2 linked regions of the Struthio camelus genome follow. The protein of the gene in region 1 interacts with the protein of each later gene in a pairwise test. Links are inferred from orthologs where the notes say so. Each region holds a gene or a part of one and is shown in the gene's direction. Other genes may lie near its edges.

Region 1 (8,227 bases):
TCATATCTACTTTGACTTTTTTGATATGCTTAAGTTCTGGCAAGGAACTATTAAAAGCACAACCCATATGAGTGTTTCATTTCTTAGTATTTGCAGCATCTCTCCGCAGAATATGTATCTTTTTAAAATATTTCACTGGCTCTGCTAAGCTGCTAGTAACAACCTTATGGTAAGGGGCCATGGGAGCTCTTGGCATTTTGAGTGCTGTATTGTTTTAGATCAATTCCAAGCTTGATGAAACATTTGATTTTCATCTATGCATTGTCACTGTGTTTATTCCAGGCCCTCCTGGTATTTGTGCACATATGGTCTTTTTATTTCTCCTGGAAAACACCTCTTATTCTGTCAAGGAGGAGAGATTATAATAATTGATAATAGAGAGCTTGATTAAAGGCCACTAGTAATGCTTTTAAGTCCTAAAGAGTGATTCCTCAGAAATTACAATGATTGGATAAACGTACCAGGGCAAAACCCACATAAATCATATGGCACGTACCAGCAGCCCTTGCTTCCCTGGGCATCCCATCATAGAAGTACTACAGTTCTGCAGATGAACACGCAACTTCCTGCATGTCCTAAGAAACCCTTTTTGCTCTTTTCATTGCATCACCACCCAGCTGCTCCCAGAAGCACATGCTCACTTTGCTGTAGTCTCACAGGACTCTCTATGAGAAGGGACAACTTGCTTTTACAAAAGGAGAGTGCCTACCTTCTGTCTTGTGTACCCCTACTGCAGCAAGGCCAAGTGGGCGGCAGCTTTCTCCAGCTCAGCTGCGGTGGGGACCTCAAAGTACTTGGTAGCCCAGAGGTACTCTTTCTCTTCAGTTCCTCCAAAGTTTCAGTGGGAAGGGGATATCTCTGAGCACAGTACTGCCCCTCTGCTGGGCTGTGACCTGGCCCATTGGGGCAGGGCTGGCCTTTGCTCTGCAAGATGTGGAGCAGTAATTAGTTTTCAAAGGCTGGGGCTGTTATCCTGAAATATATCTGTTATCAACTGCTTAATAGGGATCCAAACAGGAATAGCCAGTTCTGCAGAACCTCCTAAGCCTGAACCCAGCCTTGTGTGTATACGTTTTGATAGAGCTGCCTTGTATAAGCACTGTTGTCTTGATCCCATCCTACCTGTCCCAGCCAGACATCTATAAAGCCGATCTTTCTTCTTAGCCTCTTTGAAAGCAGCTCCTGCTCACAAGAAACTTAGGGGATCTATATCAAGTAATAAATCTCAACTCAGTTTAATTCTCCAAGATGCTAAAATGTTCCCTTCTACATCACCTCCCCAGAACGGCATGGCCTGGACTGGCATTTGGCATTTTGATCCTCAGTCCCCTTTGATCATCAGGAAGTTGGTGGTCCTTATTTTTGTGGAGAAGGTTCTGGCTCCCCAGAGAGAGCAAGTGTCTATTGAACAAACATCTACATGAAGTATTGTCTTCATCTTCAGCAAATGGATCTTAAGACTTCTGCTGTGGCAGTTATGTCTGTATGTCTGAGCTCTTTATCTCTACTTCCTTGTAGCAGCAGAGCTGGGAGGACCTCTCCGTTCTCTTTATGTCTTTGGCAAAATTCCCAAAGACTTCCGCATGAGCAGGTTCTCATCCTATTAGAAATATCAATTGATTTTAAAGATGGTATTTTCTGAATCACGGTTTAGCAGTAGATTTTCAAACAAACACCTCATGAATAATGCATAGAAACAGAAAGAAGGCAGCTTAAGAAATGTAGATAAAATTAAACTAGCAGCTATTAAATACTGTAACAGTCATTACATCTAGAAGTAATTTGCCATCTAAACAGAATATTTAAGCTCACGTTTTGTGTAGAAGGGAACATTTGGTTTAACCTTGTCAGAATGGGATTGGTTTGTGTCTCTGAGAGCTCAGCCTTTGACACCATCTTTTGGCTGTGACGTTTGTCTCAATAAAAGGCAATTAATAAACCATCAGTGTATGAAGATGTCATTTGCAGCTCAGATGGTGAAAATGTATTAAAATCTGTAAAGAAATTATGTGACAGATGTATCAGTGGATGCTAAAACCTGAGACTTTCTATTTTTCAGAACACCATCGTATGTCATGTATTGTGTCCTACCCAACAGCTTGCCAGTGCCTTTGTTCTTTGACATAAAATAAAGATAGTTAAAAGGAAGTCTTGCAGACAGACTACATGTACAGGTATACATTCTGTGTGTATAAGTAGGTGTGTGCATAGATTATGTATATAATATTTTATATTACATAAAATTATATAATATTATATAGAGACTAGGAATGGAAATAATCCTCTTCCTGAGCACAAGAGACCAATTTATCTCCTATTTGGCCCCGTCTATGATGCAGAATGCTGTTGAATTAATTAAGGAAATTCAAACTGAGAAAGAATCCTGCAGAAAAATAGCACTTCCTTTTTTTTAATGGTCATGAGAATTTAGTCCTTGAGAAAGACATTTTGCTTTTTTTTGCTCTCGCTTTTCCCAAGGAGGCTTGGCTGGATTCTCTGGGCAAGCAAAACGGCACTAGTATTCCCAGTGCTCACTGGAGATGCTGTTGCCAGGCCACATGCTAAGTATAGCTGACTCAAGGGACTTGTCATTCAGCTCTATTAACTCAGTTAACAGAGTAGATTCTTCTGTGCCTCCTCTCCGTATACCTCCTACCTGTTTGGTCAGGTCTATGCAATATGTTGGCACCAGAACTGGCTGATAAGTAAATGCTTAGAAAATCTGATGTTTTAGAATATTTCCTCAGGCTTGGGGGTGGGGGGAGGGGAGGGTAAAAGTCTTCACATTTACTTATTGAAAAAGGTAGTTAAGAACCTGTGCTTGAAGTATTCCGGGGATGGGGTGGCGGAATGTATAAAACACAGGAAATTTAAAATTAATCTTGTGCAGCTTGGACAAGTGAAGTTTCTCAATTTTCTATTGTTAATCAGAAAATGCTTGGGATGGATAAACAGATGAGTTTTTAAGTCATTAGATATGGATCAGAGTCTTTCACACAGCTGAGAAAACTAATGTAGCATCCTGCAGAGCCTTGTCCATGCAAGAGGCATTTGTGGACTTGTTTAGGCATGCAACAGACGTACAGGAGGCATTAATGCTTGAACCTCTGCTTAGACGTTTTAACACCAGTACCCTTAGTTCCCTCCAGGAAGCATATTTAGCAGGCTCAAGGGTATGGCTGTGGTTGTTTGTTTGTGATGATTTTTATGAGAAATTTATGTTCAATTCAAGTGTTTGGCCTGTATCTAGATCCCTATGTGGCCAGAAACAAAGGACTCCAGGAGGACTGTGGTCATGCCTGGTTGTGGTAGTACCCACAGATTCTGGATTGGTTATTAGCCACCTTTAAATAAAGGCAACAGCTAGATTCATATTCTTGTTTGTCTTATCAGACAGACAAACACTCAAACAATGGCATCACTGGTAGAGCAGAGGACTCAGACTATGCCGCAGGAATGAACAAGCAGGGAGAGACTGAGCTTAGAAGGGGCTCATAAGTCAAACTTGAGCTTCATTCAAGGAAAAATTTGCTAGTGAGTGGAAAACCTTAGGAATTCATGATGGCTGGATATAGCAACCACATTGTGAGTAAATAGGCGGCTGAAATGTAGGTTTTAGGAAAGATGAAAATAGATTGAGTAAAACTTTTTACTTATGGATATAAAGAAAGAGAGGTATCTAAGATTAAAATGGAATAAATAAATTTAGTTTAGACATAAACTAAAAAAATAAGTAGGAGGGGTTCACTCCTCAAGCCCTCTATCTCTGACAGGCCAAGAACTAGAGCCATGGTTACATTGACTGTGATCACAAATGAAGTGAACGCTGAGAAATCCAGCAGGAGTGGCAGAATGACAGAACAAGTCACAGGTTAAATGAGCAATGAAGCACTGGGTTTGTGTGCAGATGGCAGAGGAAGAATATAAAGAGGAAAACCAGAGCAAGGACAGGCAGATTAGACATGCAGTTGTGATTTCCGGAGGCAGACTAATGCCAGGCAGGAGTATGATAGGAATTATCAGAGATATAATTGTGCCGGTAGAAAGTCCCACTCTGTCCTAGCACAGGAGGGGAGGGAGGGGAAATAGGAGAGGATTCATGGTTACTGTACAGTGGAAACTGTACAGTGGAAGCACAACTGTCAGTAAAATAGCAGGGCCACTAGAAACCTTTTGTCAATGTACTGCAAAGGCATTACTGCAACAGCCAAGTGTTCCTAGTGCCCACAGAACCCAGAGATGGATGGGAACGCTCCTGAAAGGCGTTCTTAAGGAAGTAACAGGAAAGCCAGGGGGAGTAAGATAGCAGGGAAACCTGTGTAACCTGCACAGTTGGAAAGATCTGGGAGGGAAGATATGACATAAATCCTACAGCCTCAGCAGAAAGTTAAGGGCATAATTGTCTTTTTCTGATTCTTTAGTTCAGAAAAAAACACTTTATGTAAGCAGCCGAGAATAAGCCGATTGGTACCAACCAACAGGCTCGACCTTTACCTTTTTTTGTTTCACAGCCTTCTCCTCCAAACCCTTCTCCCCGTGTGTGGTGTTTATAACCTGGTGCAGCAGACCCAGGAGAATGCGTTCAGTGAGTCTGCCCACCCGCCTGCCTCAGGCTGTCTCGATAGCACGGTACTCAGCCCAGGGAGGAGCAGGTTTGGGAAGATCCCTTTAGAAAGTGGAACTTCTGCTTGAAGGGAGAATTGAAAAGTGTCATCTCTCGGGGAACGGGGACTGGGAGCCCCCGGCGATCCCGGTCCTGCCAGCACCTGCGGGATGCTGGTCCCTGTGCGCCCCCGGGATGCATTCCCCCGCGCCCTTTGAGGCCGCTCAGCGCTATAAATGCCATTTGCATGGGGATAGGATGTAACAAGTGCTGTAAATCACTGACGGCAGAGTGAACTCCTCCAGGGGCAGACACCGCGGAGCCGAGCCTCTTCGAGCTGTGGCAATGTGTGAACAGTATCTTTTGTTGAGGGGGAGGACTGATGGCAATTAGATGATACTTATCTGGCCCTTTGATGTGTATTTACACAAACAACGTTTTCCTCCGGGACTTGCGGTATAAAGGAGGGGCCGTGCTCCCCAGCACCCTCCTTCCCGGCAGCTCCGAGACAAGAGCAGGATGACCAAGGCCCCTTTCTCTGTGGAGTGGCTATCCCAAAGCAGCCAGGCCCCCAGGAACCCCGCCGAGGGTGCTCCGCGTCGAGCCGCTTCCGCGGCCGCGGGGCCCCGGCCCGACTCCGGCTCCAGCCCCGGCCCGAGCGAGTGGAGCGGGAAAGAGGGCGCCGGCCCGAGGGCCGGGAGAGGCGGCAGGAGCCGGGAGCGCCCGGCCGGCCCCCCCGCTGCAGGTAACCGCGGCCTCCGCCGCCGTCGGGGCTGCGTGGTGCAGTCCTGCTGGGGACAGGAGGGAAGGGCCTTGTGCCCCCAGGGACCGGAGCCTGCTCACCCGTACCTGTGCCAGGGCCTGTCCGCAAATTTCCCCCGGGGAAGGGGCGCCTGGTCCTGTTTCCTCTCGCCCTGCAAGGGGCAGCGAGCCTCCCCGGAGCCCGGGGAGAGGGAAAAGAGGCGAGCGGGCTGGCACTTCCAGGGACCCCAGGCCTGGCTGATCCCCCTTCTCTCTCGCCCTGTCGCCAGGAGTAGGTGAGCGGGCGTGGGGAGCGGGGCAGCCCCCGGCAGCGGCGGAGCCCGAGAGCGGCAGCTCCGAGGAGCCCGGCGGCCGCGGCGCCCGGCGGCTGCGCACGGCCTTCAGCGCGGAGCAGATCAGCACCCTGGAGAGCTCCTTCCAGCGGCACCAGTACCTGGGGGCCGCCGAGCGGCGCAAGCTGGCCGGCAAGATGCAGCTCTCGGAGGTGCAGGTGAGCGGCGTGGGGTGGGGTGGGGTGCGGATGAGGCTGGGATGGGGATGGGGATGGGGATGGGGATGGGGATGGGCGCCGCCGGGGGAGAAGTTGTGACTTCACCCCTCCTCATCTCACTCGACCCTCCAGATCAAGACCTGGTTCCAGAACCGCCGGATGAAGCTGAAGCGGCAGCTGCAGGAGCTGAGGCCGGAGCCTTTCTGCAGCCCCCCTCTCCCTTACGGACCTCAGAGCGGGCTTGTGCCCTTGCCCCTCGCCTACGCAGCCCGGCCGCCGCCGCTGCCCCGGCAGGAGGCCGCCCCCGGCGGCTTCGCCTTAGCGGCGCTGCCGGCGCATGCCTTGGACCTCAGCAGCGCCTGCCGGGCGCAGCCTCCGGGCTTTTGGGCAGCGCCCTGCTTTGTAGGGTACCGGGATCCCAGAGCTTTCCTGCTGGGCGTCTGACCCGCTGGCATGGACTCTACCTGAGGAGGATTTGCACTAATGCCAGCGATGCGGGCTGCCCCGGTCTGTAACTGGCTGGTGGAGCTGTGGTGAGGCACAGAGCAAGGTATTCTACAGAGACTGCATGGTCTGGGTCGTGGACTTCAGGCCCCTGCGTTTATAGGCAACGGTGTAAAATACAGACGTGGTGGGGCCAGTATTAATACAAATGGAATCTCTTAATAAACCTAAACACTTTCCAGCTTTGACCTGACTTCCTTCCACAAGGATTGCAGAGCTACTTATCCTGCCCTGAAAGAGACCACCTCCCTATGAAAGGAAGCACGGACTCCTTAATCCTTAGATCTGCTCTGGCTCTGGTGGGAAATCTGAGTAGCCTTTCATTTGCTGAACCCTGAAATTTACTGAGGAGGAGTGTAAAAAAACTATGAATTTCCCCCCGTTCCCTAAAACAGGAGACTCCTTACCCCTTCAGGTACTTCCCAGGTGGCACTTTCTATGGTGGGATCATGTCTTTAAGCATGCATATATGGATGCATCTTGACCTAGTTACAAATATTAAATGCTGGGCTTCTTACAGCAGCAGAATGAATCCTTTCTCTTGGACCCCTTTAAATACCATATCATATACAATTTCAAGATGTAAAAAGCTATCTCTTTAGTTAAAAGTATTATGTAAGCACCTCCTCGCAGTTTCATGGGGTGGCCTCAGTAGATTAATAAGCACCTCTCACCTAAATAGGCCTTGGGAAGGATCTGGACTTGCATTATCATTTGAAGAGTCCCAATAACATATTATCTCGGCATCTCACACACACCTAACAGGGTATGAGAGTGATTATCAAAATAAATGCAATTGTCCAAAGCTCTTTGTTTAAATAGCTGTCAATCTGTTTCATGAGCATTGTGCTATGCATTTTTTATTTGAATAACGCTCTAGAAAATTCATGGTCAAAAATGTTCTGATTTCAGGGTAGAGAAAGAGCTGTGAGAATTGATCCTTGACTGATGTAAGTTGTCATAAATCTTTTCAAGTCAACTGTCAACCGACATGAAAAGACCCATAAAAATTTCCATCAGTTTAGAATCAGTCTCCGGGGTTATTAAAAAACTTCCGGTGCACTTGCAATCTGGGCTCATATAATGAATTGTTTGAAGGTTCTCTGTCGGTCATCCTTGAATGCACCTATTTTCTTTTTTATGCAGGGGCCAGCCTCTTGCTTGACTACACTTGCCTGGTTCACAGCAACACTATGTGCTCTGATTTTCTGAGTAGCTGTCGCATTTGGAAGTCTCCTTGATTATTTTGTAATCTATGTTGTATTTTTTCAATCCTTTGAGATGTTGCTATTTGCTTGCACTTGCGCAATTAATACAACTCTAATCTTTGTTTTGAAGGATTTTAAGAAATGTAACAAGAGTTCAGCTGCTATTTATCTTGTTTAGATCTTTCCAAAAGTGTGATGCAGTTTGGGATTAAGAAAAGTTGTTTGTCACGAAATAAAATTTCCCACTGAATGGAGTCTTATTTCTCAAATTCAAATTTAACTAAAACGACTATATTGATCCAAAGGAGGGGGGATCTGAAATTCTGTCTCTGTCTCTCTTTCGAATGTAATTAAGGATTCAGTTGTTTCCAGAAGAGCTCTGCAATGGCAGATATGTTTTTCTAACACAAGCATATTTTAAGGATAGGTCAATAACAGTCAACAGTCAAGGTCAATAAATGCACAATTTACCCGCAAATAGTCTGGAGTGTTAAACTCGACTTGGCTGCCCCTTTTCAAGGGGACACTGGTAGAGGTCACCCCATGTAATTTTGTATGGGCACCGACGAGGGACCCCACCTCTCCCCCAGATGCTTTATTTACCCTGTACGTCAGCCCCTCGTGCTCCGAGGTCAGAGCCGGCGGTACCGGGACTGGGGG
Region 2 (7,818 bases), on another chromosome or scaffold:
GCGCTCGGTGCCGAGGATGCGGCGGCAAAGCAGCGGCGGAGGCTGCGCTACAGGAGTCAGGGTTCACTCTCTATCTCAGATATGCTCTGCTGCACTTCAGAGAACAAATGCAACGGCGGCTTTTGCAAAGACCCGTGAAGGCGCAGTGCTGCGTTCCCCTGGTTAGACCCTGCCTCCAAGGGAGCCTCCAGCTGCCGCTGGAAAAAGGAGGCACTGAAAAGCCCCTGGCCACCGGGGAAGGCTGTTCTCACCTTTTACTGCTAAAGGTGCGAGTTAGAAACAAGCAAAGCCAGTGCTTTTCAAAGGGCTGTTTATTGTGTTTAACCCGTCTGAAGGATATAATGCTGAAAGTTGTATTTTCAAAGGTTTTTGTTGTCAAAATATTTAGGTAGCTTACGTCCATTTAGAGCGTTTCTACTGTGTAACTCTGCTATTGCTTGAAAATACCGTTCATATTAGGATCATATAAAAGTACAGTGGAAAATCCGCAGGACGGGAAACCCTTTTTCCAAAATGCTAACAAAAAGATTTTCTTGCTAACGATTCTCAAAGCTGGGAACGAACAATCTCCCCAGTTTGCCTGTTAGAGCAGAAAATGTCTCAGTATCAAATTTTTAACTGCAGTTTTGTATAAATCTGTGACATATCAGATGGAGATATAAGTGATAAAAGTATTAGATGCATAATTGGGTGCAGGTGATCTGTATACTTCAAATGTTATCCCTAAGCCACAAGTCACGTTTTGTTTGGTTTGGGGTTTTTGTTTTGTTTTGTTTTGTTAAATGCAAAGTAAATCTTGGCAAAACCAAGCGCAGCTTGAGCAAAATTAAATCTCTCAAAGTCTGACCATAAAGTGTTCAGAAAAGCCTGTGTTGGGAATTTACCTGTGTGCTTTAATGGATTAATGGACAGTATTAAAAGATCATTTCCAAGTTAAGCAAACATTTCAGAGCGTATTGTATAACATTTGCCTTAAAATTAAGTTAGTCAATCTGAACTTTATGCCAAATGATTATTTGCTCGATTTTCTGATGACGGTAATATATTACATACCATCAAATAATTTGTTAAAGACAATAAGATTACAAAGCTCAAGAACGGTCTGAGTCAGTCTTTGACAGATTAAAGTTTTCCAAGTCCCCTGAAAACACTTCTCTGACATATTAATTTGACCTAAACCCTCAAAATGTTCCTGATTATATCATCTCAATTGTGCTTTATTTTTGTTTTATTTTTCATTGTAGGAAATTAAAAAGGGTTGGTTGATCCTTGTCCAAGTTCTTGAAATGTGTTGCAATGCGAAGGAAATAAAAGATTACTTGAAATACTTTTTAATAATATGTCATGTCAGCAGAGATAAAAGTTTACACTTAATGCCCTCAGCTGGCTTCTATCAGAATTGGTAAGGACAAAAAGTCACTCGTGGCCATGCTGCGGGAAGGACCTGTAGTTCACCTTGCATTTAAATCATGAGCTTATGTTGTTGTAATTATGACCACGTTCATGAAATTTGTTTCATGTCTCTTTTTAAGGAGAAGTAAGTGTCTGCACAGGTAGGGCTGATCCTGCCTCAGGGTTAGAGCAGAAGGAGATAATCTCAAGGTCTCTTCCACCCTCCCAACGCCTATGAATTTCTGGCTGTGCCGGCCGCACCAGAACTAAAGTCACCCTGGCAAAGCCCTCCTGAAATGTGGACATGGCTTCGATATCCGTCTCCTCACGGGCAGGTACCTCTGAGCATGCCTAATACTAAGGAAAATCATGTCAAAAGGGTTTGGGGCTTTGCGAGGCCACCGTTGGGTAAAATGAGAGGAAGGGCTGAGTCTACGTTGTAGGAAGAAACAAATAATCCCGACTACAACGTAGCGTAGCCCATCTCCAGAGACACCTGGCAAAGGAAGGTAAGTACCACTGGCCTCGGTAAAAGCTAAAACAAAAGTTAATCAGCATCTTACTCTCTTTGAAATCCATGGTAGGAAACTCCGGCACTCATTCCAGCATCTGGGCTGCTATCTCCAGCCGGCATATAATGCCAGGTGCACACACTTCTGTAGAAAAGCCTAGGGAAGAAACTTCTAGGAATATCGTTCCATCTGCTCCTTTGTACAGCTTCTTTGCGTCTGTCCCAACTGCCGTTACAAACTTTGCTGTTGGTTTCCCAAAATGATTTCGATGTGAGCTCAGCTGGATCTTGCAGAGATTCCTTTTCAAAGGGGAAGGTAACCTTTAGCTCCTAAATCTGTATGCGGGCCCGTGTCCGACATGGCAGGCTCCCCAGAAGCTGAGTAACGGGTGTCCTTGCAGTGGTATTCAAGGACAACAGCCCGATGCTGTGGCGTTTAAAGCACACAACGTTTGAGAGGAGCCTTGTCAGGCAGTGGCCTGTTTGGTTGTCTCTCTGCAGCCAGCAGTTTTCGTTCTGCTGCCAGTCCAAGGCTTGGAAGAAATGTATGCATCAGGGAACAGACCCTGACGAATATTGCAAGAAATCCTGAAAGGTTTCACACCTGAATAAACCAAAGCTTCCTCCGAAACTACAGAAGTGCTTGGAAAGGTAACAGGAAGATGAGCCGTGTATCCTATTCCCTTCCCTCCCTGGCCACCAAAGACGCCGCGAACTGCGGGCAGCAAGGATGTTCCTGCAGCCTCCACCCTACGCACGCTGCTTTCTTAGCTGACCTCTGAATTTTAGCCACTTGCACATTTTTTTCAATAATCTTGCTCTGTCCTAGCAGAGGTTTTATGAACACCTCACAGGCCAGAGGGCAGCTCTGGAGCACCCAGGAGCCTGACGCTCCCCAAAGCCCCGGTGCAAGGAAAACCAGGACAGGGCTCGGTCTGGTTTTGAACCATTGCAGCCGGAAGGACCCATCTCCCCTTCCCTCCCCAGGGCACAGCAAAGGGAGCAAAGCTCTGCTTTCCGGGCAGCTGCCCCAGCCCCACTCCCAGGGTGGCTGCTAGGCTTGGATGAACTTATGGGGTAGGAGGGGATGGTCCTTAGCTAAAACTCAGGAAGGGAATTAGGCATTTTGCCTCTCGCTAGCACCTGCCCCCCAAAGCTGGACCTGGCTCCCGGGGAGCTGTATTACCACCTGGGAGCCGCGCACCCCGCCGCCCCAGCACCTCGGCTGCGGGTGACCCGGCAGCCCCCGCTCCGCTGCAGACACCCCGCTCCTCTGCGACGGGCCGGGCAGCAGCCAGCCCCGTGGGGAGGGCCGGGGGCTCCCCGCCGCTGCGCTCCCTTCTCATTTGCGAATTTACCTTTTTTTTAAAAAAAAAAAAAAACAAACAAATTTTCCCCTTTCCCTCCCTCCTTTTTCTAGCTGCTGCGAGTCACTTTCGCCCCCCCAACTCACCGAGCTGCTCCTGGCAGGGCAGTGCCCAGGCGGGACTGTGGGACCCCGGGGCCGAGGGTCCCGCTGGCGCAGCCCCTCCGCGGGCGCGGAGACCCCCGGCCCGGGCAGCCGCACGTCGGCGGCCGCTGGAGCCGCGCTGCCGCCCGCTGCCATCTGCCCCCGCCGCCTCCCTCCCTGCGCGGCTCCGGCAGCGGCGGGGCCGCGGCGGGACCGCCGGGGGGGACACCCGGCCCCCGACGGCCCGGCCGGCTCCCAGCTGGCGCGGGGCGGGCGGGGGGGGCCCGGGCACGGCCGCGTCTGCGGCAGCGCGGAGAGCCGCGGCCCCCGACGGCCGGGCGCGCAGCGGCTCCCGGGACCCGCCCGAGTGGAAAACTCGGCTTTTGGCCCCTAATTCGCTGCAGCTGCCGCTGCGGGGACGCGCTTTGAAGCGGAGCCGTGGAAACAGCCCTGGGGTCACGCCAGAGCAGGCCGGGCGGAGGCAGATTCTCTGCCTTTGTAAAACAAAGGGGGAAAAAAAAAAAACCCGACGGGGAGCTAAAATCTGACCCCCCCCCCCGTTTCCGCGCTGCCACACGGGAGAGGAGGGGGCGGGCAGGGCACCCCGGCTCGCCGTGCTGCGGGCAGAGCGCAGTCCCCGTGGGACAGCCCGGCCGGGCCAGCCGCACCGGGGCCTTGAGCCGTACTGGGAAAGCCAAAATGCACCTTTTTTTTTTTTTTTTGATGCTGGTTCTGGTTAAACGTTATTTGCACTTTTGTTGGAAAAGTGGCCCCTAGTGTGCAATTATGTCAAATTTCTTTGAGTTTTACAATTTAATGGAGAACAGTAACTCTTTTATTGATCCTAGACGGGGCCGGCTCCTCTTCCCCCGCTCTTCCCCTCCGCCGCTCGCTTTCCCCTCCCCTCCGCCCCCCTTTTAGCCCTACGAAATGTCACTCAATGTTTCTTATGCTCCCACCAGTTTCCAAAACAAACAGTGGAGGCTGCAGCCGTCTGTCGGCTCGGTCGGAAGCGAGCGGCTCTCGCCGCGGCCGCTGCCCCCCGACGGGAGCGGCGCGGCCGGGGCCGGCGGGTGCCGGGGGGTGCCGGGCCCCCCGCGGGGCTGCCCGGGCGCCGATGGAGCGGCGGGCCGGAGCCCCGAGGGCCGCCTGAGCCCGGCGGGAGGCTTCGCCGCTGCCGGCGCAGGGCGGGGGGGGGGGGGGGGATGGCGCTCAGCTCCCGGGCTCACGCCTTCTCCGTGGAGGCGCTGGTGGGGAGATCGGCCAAGAGGAAGCTGCCGGATGCCCGCGACGAGGAGCCCGGGGCCGGGCGCGGGCAGAGCCGCAAAGCGCCCGACGCGGGTTCGTAGCGCCCCGGCGGGGCCGCGGGGGGGCGCGGAGCCGCCGCCCGGCCCCGGCCCGCAGCCCCCGAGCCGCCCCGTCTGTGTCCCCGCAGAGAAGCGGCCCAAGGCGGCGGCGGCGGAGAGCCGGGAGGCGCGGGGCGAGGTGCAGGTGGAGCTGCAGGGCTCCGAGCTCTGGAGGAGGTTTCACGACATCGGCACCGAGATGATCATCACCAAGGCCGGCAGGTAGCGGCGCCGCGGGCCGGGCTCGGGGCAGCGCCGGCCGCGGCGGGGGCCCCGTCGGGGGTCGCCGCCCGGCGCCGCTGCAGGCCGCGGTGCGCTGGCTCGGGGGGCTGCCGCCGCCGCAGCCCCCCCCTCCCCCCCGGCCCCCCGAGCCGCGGCCCGGCCGCCCCCCGAGCCGCGGGGCCGACGCTGCGCTGAGCATCCCCGCTGCGAGTCATCATCCTCCTCCTCCCTGCCTCCTGCGCCCGTTTCTTCTCGTCCCCCTCTCCCCGCTTTATTTTTATTTTTTGGTTCTCCTTCGTTGCAGGTTTGTTGTTTTTTGTTACTGTTTTGAGGACTTTTTTTTTTTTTGGTGCCCATTTAGTTTTTCCAATCTCCTTCCACTCTTAAAACGGCAGCTTTGGCTACGAACGCCCCCCACCCCCCAAACCATCCTCCCCGCTAACCGCCGCCCTGTGCCTGCAGGCGGATGTTCCCCTCCGTGAGGGTGAAGGTGAAGGGGCTGGAGCCGCTGAAGCAGTACTACATCGCCATCGACGTGGTCCCGGTGGACTCCAAAAGATACAGGTAAAGGCCGGGCCCCGCTGCCGCCGCCCCGCGCCTCGGACACACGGACACGGGGGTCCCCGCGTGCGACACCCGTATTTGCAATCAGCAGCCTGATCAGCCCCCTCTGCACCTGAGATACGTACATATAGATGTAAAATACAGAATGCATGTATATGAATCTGCACCCGCGATATAGATAGGTATAATATAGAATGCATGTGTGATATAGCTCTGCATCGGAGAGAGAAATGTGTACACAGTATGCATATGTATATATGTGCACCTGAGATATATGTATAATACGGAATGCATCTGTACCTGCATCTCAAAGATATATAATGCATAATACAGAGTGCATATGTATATACACCTGCAGCTGATATGTGTGCGTATATATATGTATATGCACGCCTCTAAAACGCCGAGCGCATAGGCAGGTGGCTGGGCAGGGGTCTGCAGGCACGCGTGGCTCCGGGGGTGCTGCCGCGGCGGCGGGCAGGGCCGAGCCGGAGCGGGCGCCGTCGGGCCGCCTGCAGCCGCCTGTGCCCCCCGCGGCGCAGGTACGTCTACCACAGCTCGCAGTGGATGGTGGCGGGCAACACGGACCACTCGTGCATCACGCCGCGGCTCTACATCCACCCCGATTCCCCGTGCTCGGGGGAGACGTGGATGCGGCAGGTCATCAGCTTCGACCGCGTCAAGCTCACCAACAACGAGATGGACGACAAGGGGCATGTAGGTGTGGAGCGGGGCGCGGGCGCGGGGCGCGGGCCGTCGGGGCCGCGCTCACGGCGCCGCGCTCCGCTCCGCCGCGCAGATCATCCTGCAGTCGATGCACAAGTACCAGCCGCGCGTGCACGTTATCGCCCGGGACGGCCGCCCCGACGGGGCGCCGCTGCAGGCGCTGCCGGCCGCCGGCGTGCAGACCTTCTCCTTCGGCGAGACCCAGTTCACCACGGTGACCGCCTACCAAAACCAGCAGGTACCGCACCGCGCCGCCCCGCGCAGCGCCGCGCCGCCCCGCGCAGCGCGCCCGCCCGCGCCCCGACGCCTCCCTCTCGCTCCCCCCCCCCCGCAGATCACCAAGCTGAAAATCGACAGAAACCCCTTCGCCAAGGGCTTCCGCGACCCCGGGCGCAACAGGTAACGGCGGCGGCTCCGCGCAGCCCCGGCCGCGCCGCGCAGCCGCCGCCGCCGCCGTCAACCGCGCTCTCGCTCCGCAGGGGCGTTTTGGACGGGCTCCTGGAGACGCTGCCCTGGCGGCCCCCGCTCGCCCTCGACTTCCCGGCTTTCGGCGCCGAGAGCCAGGGTGAGTCCGCCGAGAGCGCGGGGAAAGCCGCGGAGCGGCCGCCGCTGTTGCGCGGGGGCGGCGCGTCCCGCCGCGCCCGGGCGGTTCGGCAAGCGCGCGCGGGGCTTGACGTCCCGGCGGGGTGAAGCAGGGCGAGCGGGCGGCAAGTGCGGCGTGCTGCGAATCCAACGCCGCGTGTCTTCTGCAAAAAAAAAAAAAAAAAAGAAAGAAAAAAAAAAAGAAAAGAAAAGAAAAAAGAAAAAAAGAAAAAAAAAAGAAAAGAAAAACCTCCTGTAAAAATCGAGTTAAGAAGCAGAGCGCTGGCCCCGTGGAGGTACGAGTAACGGCTCGATGCACCTCTGCAGTAAGATCTAGATACGGAGAAAAATAGTCTAGATATGCAAAAGGTTAATTTAGAATAAGGTTGTTATCGCTTTGGTCCTGTTGTTCTGATTGTTTCCACACCTTTTGTAGACCGTTATCTGCAGACGTGACAGTAGCAAATGCGGGTGTCTACTGTAGCTCTACTGTACAAACGCTTTTTTCAGTCGAAATTTATCGCATATTCAGGACATAGCAGCCCCACAGCCCCTTTGATATGGGAAAGATGGAAAAGTTTGTTAGTGAAAATCGTCTCCCTCCGCCTGGTTTATGCAGGTCTATCCCTTGCAGTCCTTTTGCAGAAAAATGGCTTTTGGAAATATTGCCTGGAAAGTGCCTACTCAGAGCGCCGAGGGAAAAACTAACGGCGCATTTGTGCACGGGAGAGCTCTAATTTAAGATTAAAGCTGCCAGTCTAACTCTTATTTACGTTATAAACTTTTCGAAGACATTTGTATTAGCACATCCATAATCTTTCCTGTCTCTCCGGGAAAATATGGCTGGTTTTATCACAGCAAATACAGATTTTATGCTGTACAAGCGTAGAAATACAAAGACATAAAAATCAGATTTGTAACGATATAGGAGAAAGTAAGAGGTTTATCGGTCGCAAAGGTAGCTACATTTTTCAGAAGAGGCGTCGTGTAAAATGCTGCTTTTGAACCTGGTTGGAAGGTTGTGA

Evidence for each region. The genes of interacting proteins can lie anywhere in the genome.
Region 2: the proteins of VENTX (region 1) and TBX22 interact in binary tests that used the Homo sapiens proteins (3 or more experiments, as listed by UniProt). The two-hybrid records come from large-scale screens. The link is inferred for Struthio camelus from reciprocal best matches to the Homo sapiens genes VENTX and TBX22.

Annotation. Positions count from the first base shown.
Region 1 is NC_090948.1:18,024,722-18,032,948, forward strand, and holds VENTX (homeobox protein VENTX), read left to right. Parts: upstream 1-5,122; coding exon 5,123-5,348; intron 5,349-5,634; coding exon 5,635-5,855; intron 5,856-5,987; coding exon 5,988-6,299; 3' UTR 6,300-7,821; downstream 7,822-8,227. UniProt on the Homo sapiens protein: May be involved in ventralization.
Region 2 is NC_090952.1:27,127,368-27,135,185, reverse strand, and holds the start of TBX22 (T-box transcription factor TBX22), read left to right. Parts: upstream 1-4,558; coding exon 4,559-4,694; intron 4,695-4,788; coding exon 4,789-4,921; intron 4,922-5,383; coding exon 5,384-5,485; intron 5,486-6,027; coding exon 6,028-6,202; intron 6,203-6,284; coding exon 6,285-6,449; intron 6,450-6,545; coding exon 6,546-6,610; intron 6,611-6,690; coding exon 6,691-6,776; intron 6,777-7,818. UniProt on the Homo sapiens protein: Probable transcriptional regulator involved in developmental processes. This is major determinant crucial to palatogenesis.